Danio rerio: one gene and its partner. The protein of the gene in region 1 interacts with the protein of each later gene in a biochemical or structural test. Links are inferred from orthologs where the notes say so. Each region holds a gene or a part of one and is shown in the gene's direction. Other genes may lie near its edges.

Evidence for each region.
Region 2: the proteins of myo6b (region 1) and tax1bp1a form a complex in vitro, tested with the Homo sapiens proteins (5 studies listed by BioGRID, with this or other methods). The link is inferred for Danio rerio from reciprocal best matches to the Homo sapiens genes MYO6 and TAX1BP1.

What each region holds. Positions count from the first base shown.
Region 1 is NC_133192.1:38,705,415-38,709,349, reverse strand, and holds the start of myo6b (myosin VIb), read left to right. Parts: upstream 1-1,256; 5' UTR 1,257-1,406; intron 1,407-3,935. UniProt on the Homo sapiens protein: Myosins are actin-based motor molecules with ATPase activity. Unconventional myosins serve in intracellular movements. Myosin 6 is a reverse-direction motor protein that moves towards the minus-end of actin filaments.
Region 2 is NC_133194.1:21,855,925-21,859,859, reverse strand, and holds the start of tax1bp1a (tax1-binding protein 1 homolog A), read left to right. Parts: upstream 1-1,558; 5' UTR 1,559-1,671; exon of another isoform or gene 1,672-2,228; intron 2,229-3,766; 5' UTR 3,767-3,801; coding exon 3,802-3,935. Other genes in the region: hibadha (3-hydroxyisobutyrate dehydrogenase a), read right to left, coding at 512-581.

The sequences.
Region 1 (3,935 bases):
TGGGAAATGCAGAAGTCAGCGTGGCATTAAATCTAATTAATGGAGCTTCTTCAGGCTCACCAGATGACTTAAAACTCTTGTTTAGCTGTTTCTGGGGAAACTGATGTCGAATATTAGGCCTACTCTGTCTCCATCCCAAGATATTCTGTGAGACTATACGTAACTCAAGCTGGAGGCTATAGTTAACCTGTATAACACCCCAAAGCAACAGCATGAAGTCGTATATGGGATGAAGAGTGGTTGTCAGAGTCTTAAACACACACAAAAAAACTGTTTGTTATAACTTTTTTGCTTAGAAATTTGATATAGCGACACGTAGTGAGAGATCAGGTGTCCTAATTAGATTTACAAACACAAAGTCTGCTTTCAATGTGGTTTAAGATTTCAACTTAGGAATACTTCTATACGTTTTGAATTACAAGCCAAATAAAATATTAATGAGCCTTCAGTTTGTATCAGTTGCGCGCCTTTTAGTAACTATGGCAACCCAGTAGGCACCTTGTGACTTTCTCCTCATCCCTTAGCAAGTTTTATCCATCCTGAATTAAACTTTACTAGTACGTTAACGAACTGGGACTTGTTTTAGTACAATAATACAGTTTATAACTTGAAGAACTGATTCCAGCCACCAGAACGTTTTAACTTAACCTTCTTTTAGTTCCCAGAACGTTCTTTTAAGGTTTTTGGTTAGCCAAAATGAAAACAACATTAGCTTTAACGTTAGGTTGTAAAGTGTACACAAGACGATAATAATGTGCTTGAGGGGATAACTTTTAATATTAGACGACCTGTTTTAGTATGTTTGATGTTTTTATGTGATGATAACACTATTTTTTTACATAACACTAATAAGCAGCTTGATTTGAGCGATAAGAACTGGTAAAATTTACCATGACATACTATATATTTAGTCATTAAAACTAAAATATTCCTCGTAAAACATATTCTATATCACCTTTATAGTAAACAACCAGTTATTCGTGTCATTTAGATCAATCAATGTATCGGCTACGTCTTAAAAGATTAGTTTGCGCCCTACCTAGGCAGCATAATGGTGCGTCATGTATTTGTAGTGAAGCCCGTCAAGTAACTTATATCATTGTAGCGCGTACATGTAAAGTCCACTGCACTCGCCTACTGCATGCCGCTTTTACTCAAACTATTTTGCCAGTCATGACCCTGTGTATTGAGACACCACCTGTGTCAGTCAGCGCTACTGTGTCACCGTTGAGGTCGCTGTTATTCCAGTGGACTTCAGTCTGAAGCCGGACACACAGAGAGGAACGACAGCGGCTTTGGAAAAGGGAATATTCAGCATCGAGGAGGGAATCTGTCACCGCTAACCGGGACAGTCTGTCGCTCATCTGTCCTCAAAAGAAGCTGCTCTTACCGGATTTACACACAATGTGAGTGACTTCGCTTACTTTATTTATTGCTTGACTGCGCTTTGTGGCAACTAAAGGTGTTGTTAGGCGTAAGTTGTGTTTAATTGCTTCTACAGTGGCGCGCTAGCATGCTGCTAATGAATGTGTTCATTCAGTATGGTTACAGTGAATTTTGTTATGTCAATGTTTGCAATGTCATTTATTTTTGCAGAATTTTGTTTAAAACGCAGGGTTGTATGACAACGAGTTCGGTTAACAAACTACTAGGAATACATGTATATCAGCGATAGTTAAATTCATTCTTAATCTTGCTTTTGGTTGTGTTTAGTTTTTTTTCTTTGAGAGCTTTTTCTATGGTGTTTTGTAAGCTGCGTGTGTGTGTGACCAAAGTTTTCCAGAAAATTAGTTAAGGCAGGCAGTATGTCATGGAAACTCGACAGGATATCCTATGTGTGCAGTTATAACGAGTGTAACTTTCTTCTGAAGTTGTGGAAACCATTGACAGAGGTAACGTTAGTTATTTGGGTTCCAATCGTATGAATGATGGATGCTTTAAACGCTGAATTAGGTGACTGTAAACTGCCGTTTGTGCGCATGCGCGACTGCTCTGGTTAAACGTCGTAATGGTTCCACCTTTATAATCCCCCAAGGGTCATTCTACGAAATGTGTGTCGTTTAAAGCGATTTATACTTGCATTTATGCACACATACAGTATGCATGACATTAATGTGGCTATTGCAGCTAGCTTTTAAAATGATTTTGGTGAGAGCTTTAAAAATAAATAATAATAACAAAACTTTACATTGCAATTCATTCATTCATATATTCATTCATTCATTCATTCATTCATTCATTCATTCATTCATTGGCCACACTTCATTTTATGGTAAAACTCTTGCTATTAATAAATCATTAATTTTGACTTGTAGTTTGACAAACTTCTACTTTGCTGCTTATTAATAGTAAGGTTTTAGTTGGCTTTATGTGTTTGGTAGGGTTAGGGATGCAAAATATGTATTTTAAGTACTACCAAACAGTTAATATCTCATTAATATACAGGCAATAAGCCAGTTGTTAATAGTAAGAATTAGTACTTGAACTAAATTGTTACCTATTTCATATGTTGTTGCAATTTTGCAATAATCATTTAAGAGATATAGCCTTTAAAATATATTTGTAGAATTTTGGACTTATGTAAACAGAGCATCTTTAGGTGCCAAAAACTCATTTTGTTATCTTGTCATATTAGTGTCAAAAACTATATACTGTATAATATCCACCCCCCCCCCCCCCAAAAAAAAAAATAAATAAAAAAATTCAGATATGTGTGTGTGTGTGTGTGTGTGTGTATATTAGGGATGCAACGATTATACATTTTGGTTGTACGATTATAGTCATGGAAATAATCACGGTTTCACGGTTATCACAATTATTATGCATTTATTAATTTCAAGCCCCACCAGTTTAGAAAATAAGATAAAAACTCCTTTTGCTTTACAGTGTTATTTATTGCTGCTCAGTAGCTAATTAATAAAGCACAAAATAATATAAAAAACGAACAATAGTAAATTTCTCTCTTTGTGCTTAAAAATAAGTGAATGTTTTTGACATTTAAACAAAGAATTTTACACTGTAAATAAATGACAGAACAATAAATAAATAAAAGAAAGAATAAATAAAAAAATGTAGGAGCACCCACTAAAAATTAATAAACACCACTGCAACTTGTATATTAAGGGATTTATTGTATTTGAAAACAACATCAATTAGGACTAACAAAAACCACAAACAACTATCTAACTAATGCTGAGATGACTTATTGATATTTGCGCAATAACTTCAAAATGAATGTCTAATAATTCTAAAATATTATTGATGACGAAGATGACACTAATACTAACAATGAATGATTAACATTTCTCATTTTCTTGCTGCTTTGAATGTGAGAGTTATCTGCTATAAAAAGTCCTACTGTTACTTTATGATAAATAAATGTATGGTTTGCATCAAAAAAATTAAGCATTGCAGTAAGAAAAGTTTATTTTGCACTATTGTTTTATATGCTGGTTAATTTACAAACAGAAAGAATGGACAAAAGAAAGGAAGAAAAGTCTCACTTCTGCTCCTATTTAAAAGTTTTGGTTTCGGTTTGTTCATTGTAAATGCTTAGTCTCGTTATGCTCTGATTTTCATCACTCTGTGTGAAAAAAACAACAACAGTGAGTCAGCCGGCTCATACAAGCGGGGTAGAGCAGGATTCTGTAGATGACCACCAGTGCAGTACTGTTGTCATGAGCCGCAGTTTCAGTTTAAACTTAGTAAAGGCGAGCTTCTTTGGGCGATAATGTGTACATTGTTAGGTTTTACATTTAGCAGAAATTTGCGGTGAATGCAACGCATCAAGATTTAGGCCATTAAACAGCTGATCCAATCCAATTCTTTCAGCACTCTTTAAAATCACTCTGTTGATCTTGGCTGGTGATTTAACATTTACTACATGATCGCTCTTATCGGCGCCATTAATAATAACTAATAATAATAAAGCAAGA
Region 2 (3,935 bases), on another chromosome or scaffold:
GCTTACTAAAGGGATCATGTAAAAATCAATGACAGTATAAGTTAAAGTCAAGTATAAAATAAATCTAATTCATGGAGTTATTAGGTTAAGCACATAATAAAATATTTGCCATATGAAAACTTAAGTGACATAAAAGCTTAATTGCATTCTAAACTTGTTAAAAAGGTAGATTTTTAAAATAGATACTTAAAACATTGAAATGGTTAATAGTTTACAGTTTAAGAAACATTTTAACTATAATATGCAAGCTATGAGCTCCTAAACCCCAACTGGATTGCACAACTTGTATTGCTTAAAAAGTAAACAGTGCATTGCATATTGTGCACAATGCCTGATCATATATTTCTACAGACATGCTCAAGCATACTCCACGTATGTGCACAAAACTGACAACAAAATAAAAAAAAAAGAAAAATCTAAATTCCCGAACCAAGTTACTCTTTGCAATAACATTAACGGCGTATTTATCAACTTAGTCTGTCAACAGACGATTAATGAGGAAATGACCTACCCAATATGAGCTCCACATGTTTATTGCTTCTTTTATAAAAATTCCGATACCCTCTAAACAAAGCGGCCATGCTTATTCCCCTTGACCTCAGCGCCTAGAGACAGTTGTGTACGAGTCAGGAACACAGGGGGCGGGTCCTATGACTGACATCTCCCTTCCACCAATCACTGATACGGATTTGATTATCAACCAATTAGATCGAGATCGTCGTTCAGATATCATGGAGTTTCTCCCCGCATTCATGCTGTGATTTCTTTGAATAGAATTAAGGAGATACTACTTAAAAGATTAAGAATGGCTAGACGTTTTTGACTTCTAAGCGAATGTATGGTCACTGTATGAACTTGTTGTCCTTGCGCTTAAAGGAGAACAACCACACTTTGCTCCGAATCCAAAACACAGTTGCTAAACAAATGAAAAAATACAAAGACCCTTTCCTAGTACATGAATAAGGTTTCTGAAGTTCTCTTTTCTGTTGTAAAATTGTTTAAAGATCTTTAATTCGTCTCGTAACGTTATTCAACTTATATGAAACAACAATTCTACAACTGTTTGTGAGGCCTTATAAATGATCTGTTTGCTTTGCTCGATAATTGCATTACATTTTCTACCCTCGCTTTTCATACATTATACTCGATTCAATGTATAAAAAACGCATTTCATTGATTAAACTGTTCCAATTTTCAATTCAATCACAGTTTCCATATAGTTCCATGATAGTGTACGCTTAGCATTTTCTATTTATATGTTTTAATGAAGCAATAACTAACTCGTAAACGAATCGTCCTTTTAAACCTTAGAAGTGAACTGAAATGATTCTCTCACGAACTGAATCTTAGCTTACAAGTAAAACATTCAAGGTGAACCGGGGTCTCTTTTAACCGCATAGTGTTCGAGAGGACACAGATTCGCTCGAAAGAGTCGGACCCATCGCTCTTTTGTGGGGGTTCACCACTAACCAATGGTAGTACAAGAATATCTGTGACATGAATAAATAAACCAATCACAGAGCGCGACCTACCGGAAGTTTCATGACGTATCTAGGTCCCAAAACATGTTGACACCCGGTTCAGTTTTATGACAGGGACGCTCTCAGTCTGCGTTGACTAGCAATCTAAACAACAAGAGTTATCAGATCTTCAAGTTAACATGGATTACAGGTATAATAGATTTATTCAGCGATGACTTGTATATTTATAGTGACAATTTTGGAAACAGAATTTGTAATTGCGTGCTTGTTATCGCAATGTATTTAGGGCTGGGATTGCAGTGAAGAGATTAAAACTCATTTCATTAGCTCATTCTCTAAGGTCACCGGCAGTAATAATTTTGGCGTATAATATAGGAAAAGGAACGCATTTTACTATACGTTTAGTGCAACTATCATTAAAACCCGCAGTGGCTTGTTATTTAGCAACATAATTCAAGAGAAACTGCATATACAGTAGGCTACCTTTCGGTTAAAACAGACATGTTTCAGTAAGACAAAGAATAGTACGTTTTTAAGCTTTTGTATCGTCAGTTCGGGTGGAATATATATATTATTGTAAAATAAATTAGCTGTCGACGATAAAGGCCTGGAAAGGGATGACAGCACCATCAGCAGTTCCATGAATACAGGCCTACTCGGCATCGCCCCATCCAGCCTGAACTAGGGCAGGTCTTCCTTATGCAGCTCATTTATAAACCATTTCTATACATTACAGTTTTAGCTAAGGTAAATATGTCCTAATAACATTTTCATAACATCCTTTTTACGTTTTCTGAATGCTCTTTGTAAACGTCTGCTTTTCTACATGTTTAAAAAATATGTTAAACAAGATTTTTCTTGTTTTGATTAATGCTGAGGAAACTTTCCATTTTATAATTTGCAACCAACATGGGAACGTTATGTTTTCTGAACATTCTAAGATTCGTTCAGCTGCAATGTTTTAGGCAAAGTACCATAGACAACGTAAAATATTCAATATTCAATATTATTACTAAACATTTATCCTCAAAAACATAAAGGCGACATGAAGAATATTCATTCAAAACTTTGAGAGAATGTTAGACTTTCATACGCCAATATTTTTAAACTTTTAAAGTAACACTATGAACTAAGAATTTAAACATGCATATCAGAAATTAAAATTAATCAGAAGATACTTAAAATGTAGATTTATGTAGACAATTTTTATAATACTTGATTCTTATAGGTTCATTCATTCATTCATTCATTAAATTTTTGGCTTAGTCCCTTTATCAATCGGGACTCACCATCAGAATGAACTGCCAACTTATCCAGCATATGTTTTACGCAGTGGATGCCCTTCCAGCTGCAACCCATCACTGGGAAACACCCAAACACACTCATTCACTACAAACATTTTGGCCTACCCAATTCACCTATACCGCATGTCTTTGGATCTGTGAGGGGAAACCAGGAAACCCACGCAAATATGGGGAGAACGTGCAAACAGAAACACCAACTGATCCAGCCAAGGCTCGAACCAGCGACCATCTTGCTATGAGGCGACAGTGCTACTCACTACACTACCGCACCACCATTCTTATAGGTTAATCATAATAAATGATGAAGTATAAAAACGGGACAAGGTCTAATAATTCATCTTTTTTTCTCATTCATTCATTTTCTTTTCGACTTAGTCCCTTTATTAATTCCTGGTCGCCACAGCGGAATGAACCGCCAACTTATCCTGCACGTTTCATGCCTCGGATATCCTTCCAGCCGCAACCCATCTCTGGGAAACATCCATACATACCCTTTCACTCTCATATACTAAGGACAATTTAGCCTTCCCAATTCACCTGTACCGCATGTCTTTGGACTGTGGCGGAAACCGGAGCACCCGAAGAAAACCCATGCATACGCACGGAGAACATGCAAACTCCACACAGAAACGCCAACTGATCCATGCCAACTGCTCAAACCAGCGACCTTTTTGCTAATCAGCGACAGCACTACCTACTGCGCCACTGCGTCAACCATCTTTGTTTCTGTGAAACCAATAATTTCTAAATAGCTGTGCATGGATTTTGGTTTTTACGAGTAAAACAGGAGAATATAATTAATATTTAATATGCATTGATTTATTAATTTGTAGTTAGCAGCAAAAATGCAGAATAATATATAAATAAAATATCTATTGGGGTGTATTCTGCAGTAATGATCATTTAATTGAATGTTTTACCTTGTGTGAATGTGTAAATTAAACAGAATTGCTTCACAATCTTCATTCCTTCTGCTTCCAGGTAGAACAGTCACAGGCATTCCTAGATCACTTACGATGTCGTCATCCTGTAACGTGGGAGCATCTGCAGGTGGAGGAGGAAGTGTTGTCATGGAGACATCCAACTTCGCCCATGTCATCTTCCAGAATGTTGGGAAAAGCTTCCTCCCTCAGGCAGCTCTTGAATGTCA